3 linked regions of the Bombyx mori genome follow. The protein of the gene in region 2 purifies or fractionates together with the protein of the main gene of each other region. This does not show direct contact. Links are inferred from orthologs where the notes say so. Each region holds a gene or a part of one and is shown on either strand. Other genes may lie near its edges.

Region 1 (9,553 bases), on a different chromosome or scaffold from region 2:
ACGGTGACCGGTGCTTCAAGTGCCTAAAAGCACCGAAAGTAGATCCGAAGGATCCGACAAGAAATGTTTCGGACGACGACGGATTTGCTTTGCTCCGTCGACCTGGGTCGGTACATATGTAATGCGCGGCGACCACGATAATAGGGTTATTGTATCGTGCCGCTTTGTCGAAGTAGCATTCTGACGCTGCTTTACTACTTACGTACCGATTCTAAATTTAGATCGTCGTGAAGGTCGAGATTCCTCACGTACCATGACGCTGCGATAGCTATCCTGCAGTAATGGGATTGGATGACCTGGAGGGTTTATATACAAGCAAGCCGCGTGATGTAAGTCGCATAGTGTATCCTTGTTACGATAGGACAATTTACTTCGTTACAGATCATGGGGTAGAATCGACCGTGTAAGAACGCAGCCTAGTCGCGTATTGACTTAATGTAGAGACTGAATATCATCCCTCTGAGGATGATGCCTAGTGTAAGGAAGAACGTGACTCTCGCGCAGAAAGGACAGGTTGAGACCAAGTACCAGTACCTGGTCTTTCAACCTGTCCAACCAATAATACGCAAGTTAATAAATTCTACAGGATTTACTTCGATTAGAATTAAAAGCTAAATCAAAAAATTATGGTTTTTATCATGGAAGACATTACGAAAGCGCGTTGGTACATTATTATTTAATGATAAGATTTTTATAGGTTCTCTGGCTTAAAATCTACACAGCTATACAAATCAAATAATTAAAAACAATTGTACTTAAAAAAAACTTATATTTTATAGTTTATCATTTACGCAGATCTTCACTAGATATTCCATATTTCTTTTTCAATGTATCAATTTCTTCTTGTTTCTTATCAATATCAATACCTTTAAAGGCTTTGTTGGATCTATAGTAGAGTACAACCAGATACCTGTTACAAACATTAAAACCAGATAGATGGTCACAGGCATTTTTTGCATCAAATATATCTTCATAAACAACAAATGCTGTGCCTCTTGTTTCTGGAGTGTTCCCTCTGAAATTGAAAATCAAATGATTGCTTTAAAAATATTTTTCTTATTAGGTTAATATAAAGTAAATCAAATGTCAATTTTATGACCAAATGCTCAAATTTGACACACATACACCAAATAAGGTAGTAGAAAGTACCACAAGTACTACACCAAACAAGTAGAAAGAAATCATATCATTAATTAACATAATCACACTTCATTACTATGACTTACTTATTCTTAATTTAAATAGCCAGACAAATTTTACTATGATATTTTTGGTCATTTAATAGAAATTATTGATAAAAGAGTTCCAGTCTTTCACAACTAAATATTTTAAATCTCATTATCTATTGCTTAGATTTTAAAATGAGCTCAGAATCCACCTGGTGGAAAATGGTTAACACAGCCCAAAGTCAACAATCTGAATGCTGCTACACACCAGACATAAGCTTGAAAAGTTAGTTGTTAAAACTAGCAATTTTACCATTCAAAGTACAATCTGTTCAGAAAAATATGCAGGATGCTTTCTGCCTGTTAAGGCTTACAATTCCACCAGTAATTATGAATATTTATAAATTTTGCAGGTTTCCTTTTTATATAAAATGTTATTCTTTCATCATTGAATTTATTTCATTAACAAGTATGAAATATGTATTTCCTTACAAAAAGTAGTAAGTGTCTGCAGTATTCAAAGACCAATTTGAATGTTTCACTTGATAGAAGGTACATCATGTGCTTTATCAATAGAGAGGGTTCAATAATAGTGTATTTCATAAAATGAGTTTTCATAGCTTTACAAGTTTACAACTAAAAAAATTCTAGCAATTTGTCTAAGTATAATTACATAGAGCCTATGCTCACAAGCAAATTTCACAATTCACTATTAACATACTGTGATAAAAGAAAATAAAATAAATATGCTTTATTGCTGTGAGCTCTCACAAGTAGAAACTACCAATGGTATCTGAATCTAAACATCAGATAATTATACATTCTGATTTTATACAATAGAATTGAGTATTCGACTCGACAAACTTCGACTACGACAAATGGGGGAATTTTCTTTAGTGCTATCAACGTAAATCTATTGTGTGTTGTGTTATGCATCTGTATGGTTATATACGACTATTTCCTGTCCATTTCTGCATCAAATCACTCATAAAATATGTTTTGAAAAGTATCACAGGAGATTACTCCAGTTCTACAGGGACTTTGACCTAAGACCTACGGTGTTAAAGGAATGCCCTGTGAGTAGAGGAGCTTCATTAACCGCTTGATATCCTGTCGTCAGTGGACTTATTTAGAGAGAGAGAGAGAGAGAATACACTTTATTGCACACCAACACAATTTACATTTTAAAAAAACAAACAGTCAAAAAGCACATATGTACAATAGGCGGTCTTATCGCTAAAAGCGATCTCTTCCAGACAACCGTTTAATTTACAGAAATTCTGTAAAATATAAAAAATATAGCAGGTGCGGTGTACCATATACAATACATTATTATAGAAAATATATACATATAATAAACAGATATATACCGTTTACATAATATAATATATACCAATATACATACTTACATACAATACATACTAATATATTTACACACACTTATTAAATCAACAGTATGGAAATTATAAATGATAATGATGCAACAAACAGCACTAAGCAGTTATGTAGTGTTCCTTCACCATTCTTTTAAAACAGTTTAAAGTTGGAGCACTTCTCACTGCATCCGGCAGAGCATTCCACAATCGAACCGCCTGGACGGTGAATGAATTGTCAAAGAATGATGATGAATGCACCGGCATTTTCAGTCTCAGGTTATCTGATGATCTCAGAGAAAAATTATGCGTATCACCTAGGAACTCGAAACGTTCTTTGAGATATGTAGGGGTATGGGGGTTAAAGAGAGTACAGTATAGTAATGAAAGGACATGAGTATTGCGGCGAAGGCGAATTGGTAACCACTTGAGCTTAGTGCGAAATTCAGATATATGATCATATTTCCGTAACCCAAATATGAATCTTATGCAGAAATTTTGTAGCCGCTCAAGTTTATCAAGTTGTGTTTCGGTTAGATCCGGATAGCTGGAATCAGCGTAGTCAAGAATTGGAAGAAGTAAAGACTGTGCAAGCGCAGTTTTAGTGGCAGTTGGAAGAAAATTTCGTAACCGTCTCAACGATCCAGCTGATGCAAACACCTTCCGGCTAACCTCTTTTATTTGTGCGTTCCATGAAAGGTTTTTATCAATTAAGATACCCAAATTTTTCACAGTATCGCTGATAGGAATTTGTGCGCCGTCAAATAAAATAGCCGGAAGCTGCGACCATGTAACTTTCGAACACATTCTTGAACTACCGACAACAATGACCTGTGTCTTTGACGGGTTCACCCTCAATCCATGAGACTTACTCCAACGGGACAATATCGATAAGTCATTGTTCAGGATCTTTATCGCGTTGGTCAGCTCTGGTAAAGAAGATTGCGTATATATCTGTAGATCATCTGCGTACAGGTGGTAGGAAGAAGTAAGTTGTAAAGAAATAGAATTTATAAAAATTTAAAAGAGTAAAGGAGATAAAACGCCACCCTGCGGTACACCTACGTGCGTTTCACACCATGAAGAATAAGCATTCTCACAGTGAATACGCTGTCGGCGACCAGACAGGTAACTGCGAAACCAATCAACCACGGTTGGAGATATGTTAATGGAGCTAAGGATGGCTAGAAGTATGTCGAAATCGACGGTGCCAAAAGCATTACTGAAATCCAGCAATGCCAACACCGTCAGTTTCCCACTCTCCATGCCAAATCTGATGGCATCCGTAATATGCACCAGGGCTGTGACCGTGCTATGGCCAGGACGAAAGCCGGACTGATAAGGGTTTAAAAGCTCGTTTCTCGTAAGAAACTCACTGAGCTGGTTGTGAATCAGGCGTTCTAAAACCTTTGAAAGAAACGGTAGAATGGAAATTGGACGGTATTCTGAAAAGGATGTAGGATTCGGCTTTTTTGGCAGTGGTGTAATCTGTGCTTCTTTCCAAGCCTTTGGAAAGATGCCGCTAGATAATGATTCATTCAGGATATGACAAATAATGGGAAGGATTTGGTCTAGGATAGGAAGGATCATATTACGGGCCACACAGTCACTTCCAACAGCATTGGAAGTTATGGATAATATGCTCCGCTTAACATCACAAGCCGTTAGGTGATTAAAAACAAATGGAGAACAATTTGGGATCGGAAGAGATAAAATGTGATTTAATGTATTAGATTTAATTGTCCCGTCATAAAGGGATGACGCACAGAAATGTTGATTTAATAAATCAATACTCGAATGTGATAGATGAAAGTCATGTTGTAATTTTCCAATCCCCAGTGATTTAAGAAATTTCCAGACTCTAGCTGGATCACCATTTTCGATAGCACTATGGATATGCTGGCGTTGTGCATCCCTACACACTCTGTTGCAGTGATTGCGGATTCGGTGATAATTTGTACTATTGTCAGAGGTTGGTTTTTTTTTATATTTTAATTTAGCAGCTGCCTTCCTGGTCAATAGACTTTTAATTTCATCAGTAAGCCACGGCGCTGGCATATGTTTAATTCTTACTGGTCGGAAGGGTGCGTACTTGTCATATAGATCAGTTAGCTTGGCATTGAACTGATCAACTTTCTCATTGATTGAGGTAGAGCACGTCAAAGCAGTCCAGTCAATGCTGCCAGCATCTTCTCGAAGACTTTCAAGATCCATACCATTAAAACTGCGCAGCAGAAGAGTTTTTGATTTTGCTTTGGGAGGTCGTACTTTATATGAAACGAAGATAAGATCATGGTATGAGAAAGCGTCAGCTGAACACTGTCCATGGTCAGCCACGTGGTCACGAGAAGAAACGAAAATAAGATCAAGAAGTGAAGGAGCACAGTTTGGAAAATGATGAGTCGAGTTCAACGGTAGAACAGTTAAGTTTACTGATTCGATCATCGAGCGAAATAAAGTGGTTCGAGAATTGTTTTTAAGTAGGCATGTGTTAAAGTCACCCATGATAATGGTATGAGTATATGAAGGCATTGTATTTTCTAGCAGAGTTTCAAAAGAAGTAAAGAAATCTATACTTGACGAAGGACAATAATAAACACCAAGTAACATCTTCGTGTGTTGAAGTTCTATTTCAAGAAATAAGTGCTCGCCCGCATATGGCGGCGTAGGCTGTGCCGATACATTAACAACTGCACAATTAAAATACGAACGGATATAAATGGCAACGCCACCACCACCGCCATTAATACGATCGTTCCTAAAAAGTTGAAAACCAGGAATGGTATAAGATGTAGAAGGAAGACATGGCTTAAGCCAAGACTCTGAAACAAGTATAGCATGGATATTCTTAGAATCAAAACTTGCAAGCATGTCAGGGAAATGAGCCGCAATACTCTGGGCATTGATATGAACGACATTAAAATTCCTAGGAACACCTAGGAACACCAGATTTAGCTACGTAGGATCTACGTTAAACAATTAGTAAAGACAAACTTACACTCTTATTTGTCTTATTGCGCCATATTTGCCGAAGATATCATACATTTCTTCAGCGGATATTTTGTAGGGCAAGTTCCTGATGTATAGGATTCTGTTGACTTCTGGAGGTAATCGTACCTGAAATATACTTAACATGTAACTTTCCAATATTTACTGTGATCTACCTAACCAAACATTTGTCAAAGCGTTGTCTTCAATTAACTTTTCAATACTTACATTTGCTCTTCTTTGAAGTGCTAATGCCATTTTGGTGTGGATGAATTATTTTTACAGTTTGTTAAACATGAAAATAGATAGTTGTATGATTTTTTAGGTATGTTTATCAAACTCAAACATAAATGTAAATACCTACCTACTATGTTTATAAATTTTTTTAAAGGTTTTTGTGACCTGGTAACAAGGACCTTTAGGTCATGTCTTATTTTAATATATATTCCATATTTTTTATGAAAAATGAAAATATGAACTGAAATGAAATGAAGTTGATTAATATGAAACATGGCATGAAATGAAGTGGACTGGAACGAGATGAGATGATAAGGTATGAAATATAATTGTGGCGGGTAGCCATCATACAACGCAAGATAATTGACAGATGCCTGAATCTCGCTTACGACATTTTCAAGATAAAGCGCATATATACAAGTTCCGAACAACAACATTCGGACCGTCGGTCTACCGAGCAATATCACCCGCTCGGTGGAAGATCTTCCCTTTGTCGTATATCTCTACAAACTGGTGACCCCGACGTGATCGGTCTACCGAGCAATATCACCCGCTCGGTGGAAGATCTTCCTTTCGTCGTTTAAGCTTCCTACAACTGGTGACCTGCGACGGAACAATCGCAACCTTCTCATTCATCATCAGCGCATCAAGAACTTCGGTTACCACAATCCCCGCATTCTCGCAGATAAAAGCAAGTCATCTACAGTCGTCCCACAGCAAGCCAGCATCGCAGCCTCAACAGGACCATCGCAGCCGACTCACCACGCTTCCTGGCCCTACGGCACGCACCTACACTGCCTCATCGCGCAGCATTTTCAAGCTCAGTCTCGACTCACCGCAGACTTCGAGCAGCACTGGCGACAATCACGCAGCATTCAAGCTCAGTTTCGACTCACCGCAAACTTCGAGCAGCACTGGCACTTGCAAGCTAATCTCAGCACGGACAACGATAACTAAATATGACACGATCTCCAGTCTCGGAGGGGAGTGATGTGGCGGGTAGCCATCATACAACGCAAGATAATTGATCGATGCCTGAATCTCGCTTACGATATTTTCAAGATAAAGCGCATATATACAAGTTCCGAACAACAACATTCGAACCGTCGGTCTACCGATCAATATCACCCGCTCGGTGGAAGATCTTCCCTTTGTCGTATATCTCTACATAATCTCAGTAAAATGGTGGTCATTTACTGAGACTTTTTCAGTGGATTTTTTGGAAGATCCCGAGAAGTTACCTTCAGCGGCTTTATTTGATTTTTCCACATTTGTGCACTTTCACAGATACTAAACAGTAAATAAACCACCCTTATTACGCATGTAAGCCTGAAGAAACACTAATAGAAAAAATAAAACAAATCACACAAGTTTACTCCTCGCGCTCCCGCCAAAAAGTCATACTTATATTTTATTAAGAGATTTTATGACCTGGTAACTAAGACCTTTAAGTCATGTCTTATTTTAATTTTATTTTTTATTTTTATGAACAATGTTAATATGGAATGAAATGATATTAAATGAAATGAGATGATATGGGGTGAAATATAATCTCAGTAAAATGGTGGTCATTTACTGAGATTTTTTCAGTGGACTTTTGGAGGATCCCGAGAAGTTACGTCCAGCGGTTTTGTTTAATTTTCACATTATACATTATAATAGAATATAATGTATAATTTATTTCATATTACATTATAATAGATGTAAAAGGCGTAAAATTAAATAACGTTTAAGCAAAATTATAGGAATTCACTAAGATTTCAATGGACTTTTTGGAACAACCCATGAATTCAAGTCTATCGACTTGTTCCACTTTATAGCACAAGTTTCACGAATATACACTTTCACAATACACACTTTTACGAATACTAAATAGATGATTAGCAAATTTCTGAAAACCTGCCTTTCAAACTTCTTCGTTATTTCTATTTACTTTTATCCAAAACATTGTGTTGCTGTCCCATATACTTAGTCTGGCCATAAATACTGTTACAATTAAAAATAAAAAAAAATCTATTGCATTTACTACTTTTACAGTGTGTTAGTTTAATACATAAATAGAAAACAATTTAAAGTATAAAAAGCTTATTCGAAGTGGTCTCCATTGGCTGCAATACAGTCCTTTAAACGTTGAGGCCAGTTATCAATAGAAGCACGCACTCTTTCCATGGGAAAAATTTTCACTGCCAATCGTACGGATTGTTTTAGGGACTCCAAATTATCATGGCGTTTAGAGCAAGCCGTACTCTCTAAAACTGACCATAAATCATAATCCAGCGGATTAAGATCGGGACTAGACGACGGCCAGTCTTCGGCTCTGATGACAAAATTTCTAATTTTTAAAACTAGATTAAGTCGAACTATTTTATTTTGTATTACACCATTTAGAAAAAGCGGTATTTATGACAAGTGTTTTTACTATAGGCAAATCAATTATCAATATAATTGATCTATGTATTTTCTTCTTTTTTTTTATTGCCCTTGTAGACAGACGAGCATACGGCCCACCTGATGGTGAGTGGTTACCGTTACCCATGGACTTCAGCTATGCCAGGGGCAGAGCCAAGCCCCTGCCTACCGCTTAATACTCTCCACAAGCCTGGTTTGAAGAAGGACATGTCATAGCGCTCGGGAAACACCGTGGAGGAGAGCTCATTCCATAGCCGTGTACGTGTATAGTACGTGGCAAGAAAGACCTCCGGAAACGCACTGTCGATGAACGCAGCGGTTCCAGATAATATGGATGAACTCTGCTCCGATGGCGGGAGGTGCGATGATAAAAAGGTGACGAGGGGATCATCTCAAGCAATTTTGTTTTGTCAACATTGCATTTTTTCATAATTTAGTTTATTCCCTTAATTTTTAAAACTATCCGATTTTAGTGTCGCAATATATTCCAAAAAAATAATCTAGTAACTGCTACTTTAATTTTAAAGAACTCATACGCAGTTCGCGGTATATAGTATAGGTACTATATGCCGCAAACTGCAAAATTATACTGTATACTACACTTAACTAGGCAGTTACTCTTTGCCTTTATTTTTATTGCCTTTGTAGATAGACGAGCATACGGTCCACCTGTAATTCCATTCCGATAGAGGCACCCGTCACGCGCGGACGTGCTCATCGACCACTCGATCGCCCGGCCTTTGTTCGCCCGGCTTTTGTTAGCCCGGCCATTGTTCGCGCGGCCTGTGTTCGTGGCACATCTGCCGACTAAGTGCTCTTCCTGGAAGTTTTTATTTGTTTTGTTTCCTTTTGTTATTTCTGTGTTCGTGGTACATCTGCCCACAAACTGTCTTCCTGGAAGTGTTTAATTGTTTTGTTTCTTTTTGTTATTTCCGTTTTGTTGTGATTTTTCTTTGTCCTGCAGTAATCGTGCCGCATCGCCACCTGTGTTCAATAGAACCGCTCAGGTCCGAGAAGTTGGGGCCTCGCCGCAAGGCGAGTGTTTTCTAAGACCCAGGGTAGCCCCACCTGGGCACGTAGACATCATGGACGCTGTATTTGCGGAGTTTCTCCGGCTTCGCTACCCAAAGCTCACTTCCGAGTTTCAGGCCTTCAAGGCCGATCACACTGCGAGCCCTCTCGTGGACTCCACCGAGCTCGCTGCTCCTGCGTCGCCTGTACCTGCGTGCAAAGCTTCTGCATCGAGCACCGCAGCCTCCGTCGTGCCTGCCGTTCCCGCGTCGCCTATACTGGCGAGTAAAACTGCTGCGTCGTCCGCCGTGGTCACCGTTCCAGCAGCGCGATCATCCGCGGCCTCCGTCGCGCCGTCCAAAACACCTA
Region 2 (8,259 bases):
CATTATTGCTCTATGATAACGCGAGACCTCATACAGCACGAGAAACCGTTTTAACTCTACAGGAACTTTAATTAGCAACCATTAGTCACCCTTCGTGTTCGCCAGACCTTGCTCCTCACGGACTACCATTTTTTTCGTGATTTCGACAATTTTTGACGTGATACAAAGTTTTCTTCCCAGGAGGCAGTACAAAATGCTTTCACACAGTTTGTAGAATCTAGATTACCAGAGGTCTATCGCAAAGGCATAAATTACCTTCCTATTAGATGGCAGCAATGTATAGATAATAATGGTAGATGTTTTGATTAAATAAATATGTTCAATGAAAAAAAAACAATTTTAATTTTTCAGTACAAATTGGCAAATTTCATACTTTAACCCCTAATATTATATAACTTGAATGTTACTATACTATACACGCGTGGACAAGAAAAGAGATAAAACATTTTTTAATGGGGAGTTTAAAGCCCTTCGGCAAAACCTCTATTAACATTCCAGTTACATAATTAAAGCTACTTTTAATGTTAGTCTTGGCTTTTTTGTGTCATTAATAGTCATTATATTATTTCCAACCTTTCAAATACTGTAAGGTTTTCGTGGTCACGGAAGATGATATAATGACAATAAAATAAGCGAGATTAAAGTGTAAAAGTACCTACATTAAATTATATTCGAAAACCGAAGAAAATACTTTTTTTAGTTATAGTTATATTAAAGCATTTATATTGGTCTTATTATGTTGTTCGCATTTTAGTATTTTTAATGCAGACTGGTGTTTTGTTTCATTTAATATTTTATTAAGTTAATGCAACATGAAACGGTGGTCACGCCTTATTACTATCCGTATGATCTACATTACACAGTTAAGGGACAGAACTATATAGTGTATTAGTGTTTGTAGCAGGTAGTGTTAGATTGTTCAGCTATTTCTAAATCATTTCGCGTAGGTATAATGTGAAATTTGCACTTTAAGCGTAGTAGGTATGCATACCACGATCGTGCCAGAAAGAGGAAGTGTCCAACAGCAAACGAAAAGTGACGTTAGTGAAACGCATACCTTGTTTCAAACGATTAATTCGATACGTTTATAGTAAGAAAGTAGTTAATTGTGTAACATTTCTATATTTAATAAAGATATTATGTAACATTTCTATATTTAACGACTAATATTGTGTAACAATTGCATAAATAGATAGCGAACAATATCAAGGCTTCTCCGGATTATTAACATGAAATTATTTTTAATTATCAAATGTGACTTAAACAGGATGTAGAAACGTCCGGAAACAAAAAATGGATGGCAATTTTGGCTGTACCTGACGCGAGATCACTAATAATTTTTTTATTGCTTAGGTTGGACGAGCTCACAGCCCACCTGGTGTTAAGTGGTTACTGGAGCCCATAGACAACTACAACGTATATGCGCCACCCACCTTGAGATATAAGTTCTAAGGTCTCAGTATAGTTACAACGGCTGCTCCACCCTTCAAACCGGAACGCATTACTGCTTCACAGCAGAAACAGGCAGGGCGGTGGTACCTACCCGTGCGGGCTCACAAGAAGTCCTACCACCAGTAAATAAGTGATATATTTTATACTTAAAATTGCATACATACACTTTTTAACTACTTTTTTTAGATTAACGGTTGAAAGTGCTCACTGCCCACCTGGTGTTAAGCTAAAGAAAACCAAATTGTGTAATGACTGTCCCATTCTTCCAGCCGGAACGCTTATCGACGCTCTATTAGTAAAGCAAATTATAATTTTCGCCAGTTTGCTTGTATTGTGGAAAATATTCGTGGATATGTGTCAATATGTATTTCATTAAAAAAATCTTATCATATCTGAATGATATGATAAATTCTTATCCTTTAGGCCCGAACAATTGTTTTTATTGCGCTTATTGACAGATGAGCATATGACTATACGAGGTTTTAAAAAAAACTGTCTTGTGTCATAACATTATATGGGAGCCCACATGTCTTAGATTTTGGCCCTATGATTCATAAATGTTGGAATTAAGTTATTTCATGAGGGAAATATTACAGGCAAAAAAAAAGAGAGCCAATCTGCCATTCAGATCAAACTTACCAGAGCCACGTTAATTTAATTCATTTCTGTGGATGACACACTATTGTCAATGAAATTGTAAAGGTGGGTAGTGGCATTCCCGTTGTAACATCTTTGGATTCCAGTAACCACTCAACACTAGGTGCCCTGCTTCACATGAACACAATAAATATTCCTAACCTATCTTGTTGATCATAAGTACTAGCCATTCCTATGTGCTTCTGCTATTTTACGCAGGCAAGTTGCTGTCAACCAAAAACTCTTACCTAAGCTTACTGCAATGAAAATAAAAATTTTTGTTCAGTACAAATAACAAAGTAATATAAAAAATAGTCTTTATTCAAAATTAAAGACAGACCGATCTGATTTTTTTCTGTATTTTAATACTATCACTTTTTATTGCGAATTATTTTTTTCATTCTAATGCTTGTGACTTCAAAGGTACATCGCTTGGTCACTACCTACTGCTGAGGATTCTTTTCAAACCTCATTTAAAGAAATATATGTTATAGTGCTCAGAAGAGTCCAAAATTGGATGGTACACAACAAAAAAGTATGTGAAAATAGTGTGGATGAGCAGTGTTTTGCATCTTATGAAATAATCTCTCATCTCATTTTTTACTAGTTGAACTTAGACAGAAACTTTAACTGATAATAATGTTGATGGTTTATGAGAAAAGAAAAGACATTGGTTGGGAAATTAACCTAAAGATTATAATTACTTTAATATTATTGAACTTTTCATATTAGTAAACAATCATTTAATTCAGTTGAAACTTCTTAGATATATGCTCCATAAACACATCAAGAGGGTCATCTTTTTCAAGATTATTTATTTTACTTTGACCATATTCCTCTACAAGGTGCATGTGTTCTTCTAAGTTCTCAACATCATTTGTTTCAGAATCAAAATATTTATCTTCTGCATCTTGTGACTCCTGCTCTAAATCATCATACTGCTCATCATTATCAATAGTTTTATAATCAATGTCAATATCATTACCATCTATAAAGCTGCTATACATTTCTTGAAGGAACTCATCATACAATAACTTCTTTTCTGGAGCACTAATAACTCTGTGTTTTCTGTTTTCTGGAATATAGTCAGGTTTCGTATCTGGGGTAGTGAATTCACCCCATTTTCTTTTGTGTTGAAAATTTATGTTTTCATTAGTACTATCATTCAAAGAAAATTCAGAAGCTTCTGGTGTTTCATGAATACCTTCTTCGAGCATTTGCACATTCTTCACCTCTCTCATGTGGTTGTGATCTACAGTTTCCAATATTAAGTTAAGAAAACTGGCGTTTTCAGTTATTCGATCTCTTTCTTTTATTTCTTCATCTGTTAAATATTGCCCAACCAACTGTTCATATAAAAGAGGATTTCTGTACATCATTTGTTTTTCACTAAAATAATCAGTTTTAATCTTCATTTTTTGTAATGCCTTATATCTTCTGTTCTTTATCCTCTTGCGTCTGCTTGTTTCCGAATGATAGTCACTCAAATAGTGCACGTAATTCCTAAATGTTTGATCTTTGGAGCTAGAGATATTTTCAAAGTATTTTATGTGATTAGGAGCTAAATATTTTCCGAATTGCATGAGGAATTCTACAGGTGATCTTTTATAAATTTCAAGGGCCATTTGCAGTTTCTCACATGTCCTTACCGGTTGTTCATTAGCATGGGAATTCTTAAAGGATATATTTGCACTTCTTACTAGGTAGTCAATGATATCAGTTACAGGATTCACTTCACTTTCGTTGAATTTATTTTTTAAATTAATGTTGATTTTTTCCATTGTCATAACAATAAATCTCTAGTAATAATTATTTATGTAGAGCATAATAGTAGTAGTTTGTAGTTTTATTTTTCCAACTGGAAAGGCAAAAGTGTTACACCATAAAGCCAAATCTTAGATATTATATATATAGCACAAGCTATTTAGTATTTGTAACATAATAGGTTGGGAGAAAAGTTTCTTCGCATTTTGTAAGAAAATTCACAACATTTTTTAATATAGGAAAATAGTTTATTTACATTTAACTAAAGTATGCAAGTACCATTTTGTTCGATAACTTTTTGCCATCTTGTAGGTAGAGACATGATCCCATTACTATAGAAAGGACAATGCCCAAAAGTGGGCCAACTTTATGTCAAAACTATTTGTACTTGAAAAACTATGTCTTATTTTTTCACGTTGTTTAGTTTATGTATCAACATTTCTTTCACCCTGGCATTGTTTTACAAAAAAATAAATTACTTATTTGATAACATCCCAAAACTAAGTGCCATGGTTTTTAAATTCGTCAATAGGCAAAGGGTTTAGCCCATACAGCCTTATAGTAAACCTTTTAGTAAAGTATATACTGCCAAACGAAAGAGTTGTCTGTGACTTGAACAATAAATTAAAAAAAATTGCTAATGGTTATAATTCACAGACTTTTAAGTTTATTTTTGTTCAATTCTATATTTATATATTGTAATAATAATTATTACTTAAAACCATGAATTATTTAATATTTTTAGATGTTAATGATTCCATTAGTAAAAATCTCAATGGCCTACCATTACTCTATTCTTATTTTAAATGATCAGAGTTTTGGCAGCAACCCGAGTTAAGCGTCACTTGAAGTTTTATTTTAATGTTTTTTTAATAGTTTATTGTGATGTATAATATATAAATGGGTGTTGTTTTGTGTATTAAATGTCAATAATCGTTGTTCACGATGGTTGGGACATTGGAATAAAACTGTGGCTAACATAACTGTCTTTTTTTCAAGATAAAAGGTCTGCGGAAATTCACGCTCACTCAATGTGCTATTCATCGAGTTGACGTCAAAACTTCCAAAAAGCAATAAAAAGAGATACACCGGCTTTTTAATGACATAAAAAAAATATAACTACGACAGACTAGCGTGTATAAGCCACGCTCTTTGCCTGCTTATTCATACATGCTATAATGCGATAATACTTTTTCCCCAACCTATTAGATAATACTGTCTGTTTTTACTAATCTGTCTTATTTTTTATTTGCTATTATGTTGACTTTTTGGCGGGAAAGCGAGGAGTGAAGCTGTGTGATTTGTTTTATTTTGTCTTTTTAGTGTTTCTTCAGGTTTAAATGTGTAATAACGGTGGTTTATTAGCTGTTTAATATCTGTGAAAGTGCACAAATGTGGGAAAATGAAACAAAGCCGCTGGACATAACTTCTCGGGATCCTCCATAAAGTCCACTGAAAAAAATGTTAGTAAATGACAACCACTTTTCTGAGATTATATTTCATCCTATATCATCTCATTTCATTTCATTTAATTTCATCCCAGTTGATTAATGTCTCAAATTAATAATCTTCATTTCATTTTATTTCACTCGATGTTATCATTTTCATAAAAATAAGAATATAAATTAAAATAAGACTTGACTTAAAGGTCTTAGTTACGAGGTCATAAAATCCCTTTAAAAAAACTACTCCGCTTTCACTGTCATCAGCATAGATTATACACTTAATATGTCATCAGTGTCATCGTTGTTGAATTTTGATTATTTTTGATGATTTATTAATTTTGAACTTTTTAACATCAAATCAATGAGAAGTAAACTAGTGCTTGTTCAAATCAACAAATATTATTCAAAATAAAAGGAAAAAGATAAAAATTAAACAGTAAACTGATAACTTACGATACGTACAGTAGAAATACAATAATTATCAACAATAGAAAGACGAAACATGAAAAATGGTTATTAGTTGCGTGTTTCATTGTGTTTTATTTATAAATCTACAAAGAACATACTTACCCTTTCTAATTAAATAGTAGAATCTTATAACAGTGCCCTTGTGACTTATTGCGGAACATCGTAGAGATAATAGAAGACCAGAATGTCTTTTATATTGAATATAAATTGGAAATGGGAAGATATGTGCGGGCCTGGAGGGCTTCATCCATGGAATGATGCCACGAAAGACTTCAGCGTGTGTTTTCAAGAGCTATTCTTACAAGTACCAGTGTACTTTATAATAGCTATAGTATCAGGGTATTTTGTTGGATATCGAAAAGATTGGGTGATACGAGAAAAAACTCAAGAACGTGCCATAATATTTCGAAGTTTTGTTGTTTTAGGCTTAGCCTTCATACCGATCATAGAAATATATATATTTACTACCAAACCTGACTTCACTCTATATCCAGTAGACTATTTTGCTGCTGGTTCATCCTGTTTAGCATGGCTGGTGCACTTTGGATATGTTTTAGCATTGAAACACCGTCTTGGGCGTAGCTCTCGAGGTCCAGTAATGCAATTATTTTTATGGTGCTGTACAGTTCTTTTAAACCTGATAGCTCTCCGTAGCAACATCATTTCTGGTTCACAAACAGGTTTCAATACAGCTGCATTATGTTGTCACGTACTGTATTTTTTAACTCTGATTCCTTCAAATTACTCACGACCAACATTTTACTCGCCATGCTTAGTAGGCTCCCAACACTCTCATGTAAGTATAAATTTATATCAGTTTTGTGTATTTAGAGTACTGACAAGGCAAATAAATGTATTTTAAATATCTGTTTTAATAGAGCGAGTACACTCCACTGATACCCCATGTAGATGATGATGTTCTTGGTACAGCTATGCAGGGCAACAGCTTTTTTTCAAAGTTGATGTTTACTTGGGTGAACCCTTTGCTACAAAAAGGTAATATATGCATATAATGTTTAGTCTAATTACGAAAATACTTGTGGATTTGATGCCATATTTAAAATATATGTCTAAAGGTCTGGAGAATAAACTAAAAGATCCTGAAGAACTTTTCGACATACCAGCAGAATATCGTAGTTCATATATTGGTGCCAGAATGGATCGAGCATTGGTTGGAAATGTTGATCATCACCAACAATATGCTGATATACCACATGAACCTTTTATAAGCACAGGTACACAAATAAAAACTTTATTGATATTGCAGTTAATTGTTTTGGTCAAGGATGAGGTCAAAACTAGAATATTTTCTGGAAATAATATAATCACATTAGAAATGTTAGATTAAATTTTAAAAGCAGTTCTAATTATGTATTCATAGAAATCCAGAAGGAAATACTGATATATATATTTTTTGTTCCCCTTGTAGGCATACGAGCAAATGGGCCACGTGATGAGGAGCGGTTATCGCCGCCCATGGACATCAGGAATGCCAGGGGCAGAGCCAAGCCGCTGCCTATGAGAAAATAATATACTGTAAAATGATATAATTAACATTATCCAATAAAATAAATAAAATAAACAGTTTATATCTCAAATATACCTTAATAGTTTCTTTCAATGATACAGGATATGGAGCTATAGGTGAAACAGTGCCACAAGCCTCAACACCTGTAACATCAACATCACGAGTTCGGGTCCACCCCGTACGACGACAAAATGTTTCCTTATTACGAGCACTGCATAAGGTTTTTGCAGTAGAGTTTTACAGTATTGGTTTACTTAAATTGGTATCTGATATGGCAGGTTTTGCAGGACCTCTTTTATTGAATAAGTTGGTTGAATTTGTTGAAGATACTACAATTGATGAACATATTGGGTAAGATAAAAAGATAAAACGCATAAAATAGATGAGTCGAAAATAATAACTTACAAAATGTTATGATTTTAGGTATACTTTTGCAGTTAGTCTTTTGATAGCAACATTAGGATCGACCATATTTATTGTCCAATTTAATTGGTTAATGTCCATAATTGGACTAAAGATGCGTGGTGCGCTAGTCACCACCATTCTAAGGAAAACCTTAAGTGTGACTTCAACTGAGCTGACTAAAGCGTTCTCTGTTGGTGAAATAACAAATTTTATGTCTACTGATACTGATAGGATTGTGAATTCATGTCCTAGTTTTCATGCTCTATGGAGTATACCATTACAGGTATTTATAAAATATTATGTATTTACAATCGATAGACAACTAGTTTATAATTAAAAATCTTCATTTTATTTCATTTCATTTCAGTTATTTATAACACTGTTTTTATTGTATCAACAAGTGGGACTATCTTTCCTTGCTGGAGTAGGCTTTTCAGTTATTCTAATACCAATAAACAAACTTATTGCAAATAAAATTGGGCAATTAAGCACAGAGTTGATGAAGCATAAGGACACTAGAGTCAGTTTGATCAGTGATTTGCTAAAAGGAATTAGAACTGT
Region 3 (7,686 bases), on a different chromosome or scaffold from region 2:
TTTATCTACCAGATTAAAGTACAATAGGCTGTATGATCGACATCTTCACCTGTCCTGTTGGAAACTGGAACTACTAATACTGACCATTTGTCAATTGCGTTTAGAGACTTTTTGGCGGGAACGCGAGGAGTGAAGTTGTGTGATTTGTTTTATTTTGTCTATTTAGTGTTTCTTCATGTTTAAATGTGTAATAACGGTGGTTTATTAACTGTTTAATATCTGTGAAAGTGCAGAAGTGTGGGAAAATGAAACAAAGCCACTGGACTTGACTTCTCGGGATCCTCCACAAAGTCACCTGAAAAAATCTCAGTAAATGACCGCCATTTTACTGAGATTATATTTCATCCCATATTTTATCATCTCATCTCATTTCATTTCATTCCATTCCATTCCATTTCATTCCATTTCGTTTTCATTTCATTTCATTTTATATCATGTTTCATATTGATCAACTTCATTTCATTTCATAATAGGTATAATATTTCTTATATAAAAAATATATAAAAGATTAGGTCGCATGGTATAATACCTTTGCATTTCCAGATGGAAAAACAAACTACTTATTTATTGAGGTTATGTTGTGACATTATAAATTAGTATCAAACAAGTAAATAATCATGCCGCTAGATTTTCGAAGATTTAATGGTCCAGAAGATAGTGTATCATATAAAATATATACTAAAGACTACTTGAAAACATACGACGAACAATTAAAAGATCTGTATGATGAAAACGGGAAAAGAAAAGATGGACGTGAGCTAAATGAAGCTCGCAGCATGTGTATGTTTTGTATGTGTTAGTTTCATGTTTGGTTTAGTGTTTTTCAACAATTGAATCGTTGTTTCTTTTTGGGACGCTTGCATCGCTAGCTTCGGTCTCTTGATAACACAACTGGAAATAGCTCCATTACAAGATATTGAATATTAATGTATTATCTCACGAATCAATTATTTGTTTTCAAGAATATTTCCAAAACATTCTTGCAGCTTGCAGCAATACTACTTTTCTTATTTTCGTTTTAGTGAAAATTTACAAATAATTTTGTAAACTTTTCAGTTTCCACATAATAATATATCAAATCTACTTTTTTTTTTAGTTGCCAGAACTGACATGGTTTCACAAGCAAAGGGTTCAGCATATGTGGAGTTAAGGAAAACTAAAGTTGTATGCTCTGTATTTGATCCTAGGGAGATACCACATCAAAATGAATTCCGGTATGTAGAATTATGTATAGAAATTAAATAAATAATTTCTATTAGAGCTAATGTATGTTCTTTCACCTTAACTTCACATAGATACTTCATTTAACAATATTTCAGCTATATATATAAAAAGCTTACATTTAGGCATTTAAATGAAATTATTCTTCTTCCCCACAGATTAAACTAATTGAACATGAGCTTTAAAAAATACATTGGGCCACCATATACTATATCTATAATAGCTTTAAATAAATCCTAATCCTAATGCCATATAATAAATCTTTTTTTATTCTTTTGTTTCCATTTTTAACTTTCAGTCAGCTTGGCCAGTTATATTGTGAAGTGAAATTTGCACCGTTTTCATGCCCGAGGAAACGTCGACCATATGTTCCTGATGTAGAAGAGAAAGCCTTGTCTGTTGCTTTACGGCAGGCTCTTGAACCGGCTGTCTGTAGGCACTTCTTCCCAAACTATCAGGTAAAATAATAATTCCGTTATATCCAAAGCAATAAGGGACTGCAATTTTCAGGACAATACTATCTAGTCTTTCAAAAAATAAAATACTAAAACCTCATTGATGATCAGTCACAGTTAAGTGACAATAATTTCTTCTTCGTCGCTGAAGATTGTGTCCCTGAAACTTGATCGTGGCCTGTGTCGTGAGCTGTTTCCATCTCGTCTGGCTCTCAACAATTTGTTACAAGAGGATCCTCAGCTACTTCGGTCATATTGCCCACCGACAGTCATATAACTTGGACAAAGTGATTGTGACGGGCAGAGTAAATGGAAAGAGACCCCACGACCGATTACCTAACCATTGGTGTGATCAAATAACCTCCCTAACTGGGCTGCCAGTCGCAACCGCCATTCGAGAAGCTGAGGACAATAATATAAGCACTTAACATAATATATTCCATCAACTTATGCCACAACTTAAAACATAATTGAAAATATGAATTTAGAGTTTTTTGAAAGAGAATAGTGTTGTTACAGTTTCTCCAAAGCTCATATTTTTGTCTGTTGTAATATAGACTACTTTTACTAACTAGTTAAATTTTTTTTAAGTATTATTGTTAATTCATCATTAATTTATATTCCATCCAATGTACTCATAATGATTGACTGTAAAAATGAAATAATTCATTTCTTCATTTTCTTACTATTTTAGATTGATGTTTTAATATACATCTTAGAACATGACGGGTCATGTTTAGCAGCTGCTATCAATGCAGCAGGACTTGCTCTAGCTAATGCCGCCGTTCCAATGTTTGATATAATCACATCATGCTCTGTAGCAGTCATAGGCAACAAAATGTTCATTGACCCCACTGAAATAGAAGAACATATAGCAAAGAACAGCACAGAAGTAAACCACGGAATTATAACAATGTCAGTGTTATCACAGTTAAAACAGATTTCAGATTTCACACAAATCGGTTCTATGGATGTTGAGTGTGTCACAAAAGTAATGGAAGTTTTATTAAAAGAATGTGAAATAATAGTTCCGAATATACAAAGAGTTCTAGTTGTGGATGTTGTAAAGAATTTTGAATTGAAAAAACACTTAGAAGCAGAAACAAAGAAACGGGAAGAGATTTTGAAAAAGAAAATGGACGAATGGAGATCTTTATTAAATGGTCAATGAATACTAATTTGCATTTTACTTGGCTTCCCCTTTGAAAGATGAATGTATTTCCTAAATTTTACAGTTTTGGTGGTTCATTGTAATGTAACCTATTTAACAATTTTAGACATACATAATAAAAATATCAAAAAGAAGCTTTCAATATTTTAATAAGCATATGCATGATTAAAATACTCCCAGGTTATTTAAAGAATCTCTTAAATTACTTTATATTTAAACTACAGTCAAAACCGTTTACTGCGACATCGTTTAGAACAACATGCCGGTTATAACAACCTAGAACAAAGGTCCCGGCTGAATGCCATATGACCGCCTTATTAAAAATATTGCTTTCTACGACATTGGTAATAACGACATACCTCATAAAACGACCACATTTAACTAATATTTTGGAGAATTAGATCTGTTAGAACGACCGGCTAAGCTATATTGTAAACAATTTGAATAGGTATCCACATTTGTCTTCAATGGCTATTAAAATCAGGAAAGAAAACAATAGGATTTAGTTTAGTGTAGGGTCTTTTCTAATTCTTAGAAACAAAACACGTGCATGCAGTAGAGTCAAAGACCGCTTCTTCATATCTCTTCAGTTAGTTTATTACTTATCTATACATAAAACGCACCAAAACTTTGTGGAGTTATTCGTGAAACTTTGAAAATGTCGCAAAGAAAAAGAAAACAAATTAATATTGAAGAAAAATCACGTATTTTGTAAATATATTTTTCCAATAATTCCCTATCGATTTGTTTGTACTTGCACGATACACATTAAACATTACCGGTTGTTACGACTATCGGTTTTTACGACTGAATATGAGCAGTCCCTTCGATGTCGTTATAACAGATTTTGACTGTATATATATAAGGCTAAATGGAAATCAAAACTGATTTCTTTGAGATAAAACAATATGAAACAAGTTTGTATATAAAAATAAGATTGTCAAACATTTGACCATTGAACCAATTCTAAACTATAAACTATACCTGTTATTAAAATTTGTAGTTTTTATTGATAATAGTTGAGTTTTTGGTGGTACTATTTGAATAGACTAATTGTGTTTGTTAAAGGTTATAGAAATGAAAACAAACTGCTCGAATTTATGTCATGATAAGGGATTCAAAGTCAAATAATAAGTAAATTAGCTTAATTCTATTTTTAAAATCGAAGCGTTTAATCTTCAGGCTTTTCTGGCGGTGGGCCGCATGGTTGAAGCATTCGTTCCATCAAATTGAATTTTACGCGCGCTTTAGATTCATTTTCTACGATCGCAAAGTAACTCAACAAATCCGGATGACCCATGTAACTGCAGCAAGAGTCGCGATGTTGGTTCATAAGCCATTCATATTTTGTAGTGTCGGCGTGGCCTGTGCCTATATATTTGCTCTGTAGATGTTCAAGTTGACTGTGAATGTTGTATCTTTCACCCATTTTATTCTGTAAATTATTTTAAGGTTATAGTTCGAGTTAGTAATGTCATTAATGTAAAATTAAATGGTTATAAAATAAATAAAACGTTTCTAATAAAATATACACACTTACTTTAAAGGCAAGATGCTTGTTGAAATCGTATAGACTCTAAAGTTTATATTCTAATTCAGCTAATATTGATATCACGTAGCAGCCCAAAACAAAGAGTATTCATAGACAATACATAAATTGCAGTGCAGATTACTGCAGACACGGCGTATCTAAACCATAGATACAATACTTAACGTTGAAATCTAAACACCAAAGGTTGTGCACAGTTTTTTTTATTATTTCTTTCACTGCATCTTTCACAGTAAGTTCTTAGATCTGTTTACATATCATCTGGTTTTGAAATAAGCTTTCATCTTTTAACGAAGCTTGGGAAGAGCCCCGGCAGTGGAATTAGTCTTAGTCTATGCTTCTGACGTTGACGTTCATCAGAGACGATCGCCACTTATTATTAAGTGGGACAGATACTCGTTTGCCGATAATGCTGACCAAAACAGTTGAGTACAGCTGTGTTGTCACATTTTCCTATACTTGTGGACTTTTAGAGATACTAAACGGTTACAATTTTTCATTAATAGCACGTTTCAACAAACAAAAAAACAGTAAGTTAACAAAATTAACTATTAACTACACTTCTACAGCTCACGCAACAAAGTTATTAAAGCAAAGAGGTTAATAAAAGATAAAATAAAAAGTAAAAAAAGGTAAAGGAAGGATAGAAGTCGTCGTGGTCTAACGGATAGGACGTCCAGTGCATTCGTGTTGAGCGATGCACCGGTGTTCGAATCTCAGGAGGGTACCAATTTTTCTAATGAAATACATACTAAACAAATGTTCACGATTGACTTCCACGGTGAAGGAATAACATCGTGTAATAAAAATGAACCCCGCAAAATTATATTTTGCGTAATTACTGGTGGCAGGACCTCTTGTGAGTCCGCGCGGGTGGGGACCACCACCCTGCCTATTTCTGCCGTGAAGCAGTAATGCGTTTCGGTTTGAAGGGTGGGGCAGCCGTTGTAACTAAACTTGAGACCTTAGAACTTACTATATCTCAAGGTGGGTGGCGCATTTACGTTGTGGATGTCTATGGGCTCCAGTAACCACTTAACACCAGGTGGGCTGTGAGCTCGTCCACCCACCAAAGCAATAAAAAAAAACCCGTGAGATATACATAATTACAACCACGCTAGATCAGCTGCATCTATCATGGAATCTTAAGCTCATCATCATCATCATCATCATCATCAACAGCCCACAGTCGTCCACTGCTGGACATAAGCCTCTCCCAATCCACACCACTGAGCCCGGTCTGCGGTTCTCCTCATCCACTTATCTTAAGCTCACAGGTATTTTAATTAAGTGTATTTTCTATGCTCACAGTTACATATCAACTTAGAGTACTTACAAAGTACACTCTAGGGTACGTTGATATCGTCGTATTTCTAAACTCTTTGGTATGTTGTTATGTTGATTAATTGATCAATTTAAAACCAGTTGCCATAGAAAATACACTACCGTGTTTATTCAATATTTTTGATAAACTTAATAACCAGAAGCCAGTCATTACTGAGAGAGTTGTTTTTATCAAGATATACATTTCGTAATTCTGTTCGCCTTTAAATATTCTCTATTCAGAATTATTGTTATTTCTGACAAGTTATGAGCAAATTACCGAAAGAAACAGAGCTTAAAGAAAGTGAAAAAAATATTCGCAAACAAGCAAAGCAAATTGTAGAGCGAAAATATTCAAATGTTTTCAAAAGACCAACACATTTATTCATGCACGAAAAAAACATCTCCAATATCGTAAGTATTTCTTGATTTTCTGCCCTGTGTTTGTGTTTTTATGTGCATAGTGCCATGAGTGATAGGTATTAAATAAGACAATAATAATAATTGGGACTGATTGTTCACGGCAGGAATAGGTAGATTGATTATACCTACAAATGTGGGTTTCGAATATACCGAATAATCCATGCAATGAGTAAGTTTTTTTATTTTTTTATTGCTTAGATGGGTGGACGAGCTCACAGCCCATCTGGTGTTAAGTGGTTACTGGAGCCCATAGACATCCACGACGTAAATGCGCCACCCACCTTGAGATATAAGTTCTAAGGTCTCAGGTATAGTTACAACGGCTGCCCCACCCTTCAAACCGAAACGCATTACTGCTTCACGGCAGAAATAGGTAGGGTGGTGGTACCCACCCGCGCGGACTCACAAGAGGTCCTACCATCAGTAAGTAAGTAAGTAAGTTTTGTAAGTTAATTATTTTTTCGGAGTCAAATTTTATTATGACATGTTATTTCTTCTTTTTCGAATTTCTTTGCGGCATATGTTCTTAAAGTAAAATCTATTCTCGGAAAAAAAATTCGCCTTGCAAAATTAAAACTACAACATTCGAATTCGACGGGCAGAGTACCGAACATATTCTTTGAGAGACGATGCTTTTTCGTGACTAAAATTTTAGAAATTAGCTGATATATAACACCTCTAGTGTCACAGGCATATTATTTACTAATAAACAGCTCAACTTGTAGTACATACTCATTTCAATGATTTCACGTTAAAATCGATAACATTACCTACTTTTTAGCCCGAACCAAAACATCCAAGTAACATAATCTACGCTTATTATCACAACAATAAAATTGAAAAAATTGAAAACATCGAACTCTTATACAATCTGACGCATTTACATCTACAATGTAACAGAATAAGCAAAATTGAAGGCTTACAGTGCCTTTATAAATTAAAAAAATTGTATTTAGGCAACAATCGGATTAATGTTGTTGAGAATTTGGAGAATTTAAAATATTTAGAAGAACTACACGTTGAGAAGCAAAATCCAGAAGGATTTGATGGATTGTGTTTCGATCCGAGGACTACTTTATCTATTGGCGTATGTATTAAAATTATAAAATAACAAACAATATTTAAGCCTTGGTAGCAGGAACGAAATTCAACAGATTTGAATTTTTCTAAATTGCCGCGTACGATATGCATGTAAAACTTGACTGATGAGATCTTCATTAGCGTGTTTATATTCATTACGTCATTCGGGGCCAAAATAGAGAACTAACCATCTTAAACAAATGTCAGCCACATTTGAAATCATACGTTGTTTTTGCTGTTTAGCTCGACCTGAAAAAAGTTTGATAAATTGTTCCTAGATAGTAATAAAGAGATTTGGATACACAGATTCTCACATTGTGCGGCCCTTCGACTTGGTATAGGTTAGAAGTTGGTATTTATGTTATACGGTATTTCTTTACACGCAGTACATGCCAATGATCCGACTACATATTTAGGCTTTTCTAAATACGAAAAATTAATAAACAGAGAAATGAATCGAAGAT

Evidence for each region.
Region 1: the proteins of coiled-coil domain-containing protein 97 (region 2) and 14 kDa subunit splicing factor 3b purify together in Homo sapiens (affinity purification with mass spectrometry; 3 studies listed by BioGRID and IntAct, counting the BioPlex papers as one, with this or other methods). This does not show direct contact. The link is inferred for Bombyx mori from reciprocal best matches to the Homo sapiens genes CCDC97 and SF3B6.
Region 3: the proteins of coiled-coil domain-containing protein 97 (region 2) and splicing factor 3B subunit 5 purify together in Homo sapiens (affinity purification with mass spectrometry; 3 studies listed by BioGRID and IntAct, counting the BioPlex papers as one, with this or other methods). This does not show direct contact. The link is inferred for Bombyx mori from reciprocal best matches to the Homo sapiens genes CCDC97 and SF3B5.

Annotation. Positions count from the first base shown.
Region 1 is NC_085111.1:9,664,796-9,674,348, forward strand, and holds 14 kDa subunit splicing factor 3b, read right to left. Parts: upstream 5,859-9,553; 5' UTR 5,786-5,858; coding exon 5,756-5,785; intron 5,657-5,755; coding exon 5,538-5,656; intron 1,016-5,537; coding exon 784-1,015; 3' UTR 575-783; downstream 1-574.
Region 2 is NC_085118.1:10,063,026-10,071,284, reverse strand, and holds coiled-coil domain-containing protein 97, read right to left. Parts: upstream 3,958-8,259; 5' UTR 3,876-3,957; coding exon 2,832-3,875; 3' UTR 2,763-2,831; downstream 1-2,762. Other genes in the region: ATP-binding cassette sub-family C member 10, read left to right, coding at 5,950-6,561, 6,644-6,761, 6,842-7,000, 7,395-7,644, 7,717-7,981, 8,066-8,259. UniProt on the Homo sapiens protein: May play a role pre-mRNA splicing through the association with the splicing factor SF3B complex which is involved in branch-site recognition.
Region 3 is NC_085126.1:5,962,291-5,969,976, forward strand, and holds splicing factor 3B subunit 5, read right to left. Parts: upstream 4,548-7,686; 5' UTR 4,388-4,547; intron 4,283-4,387; 5' UTR 4,277-4,282; coding exon 4,019-4,276; 3' UTR 3,940-4,018; downstream 1-3,939. Other genes in the region: uncharacterized protein LOC101736097, read left to right, coding at 5,987-6,133, 6,924-7,229. UniProt on the Homo sapiens protein: Component of the 17S U2 SnRNP complex of the spliceosome, a large ribonucleoprotein complex that removes introns from transcribed pre-mRNAs.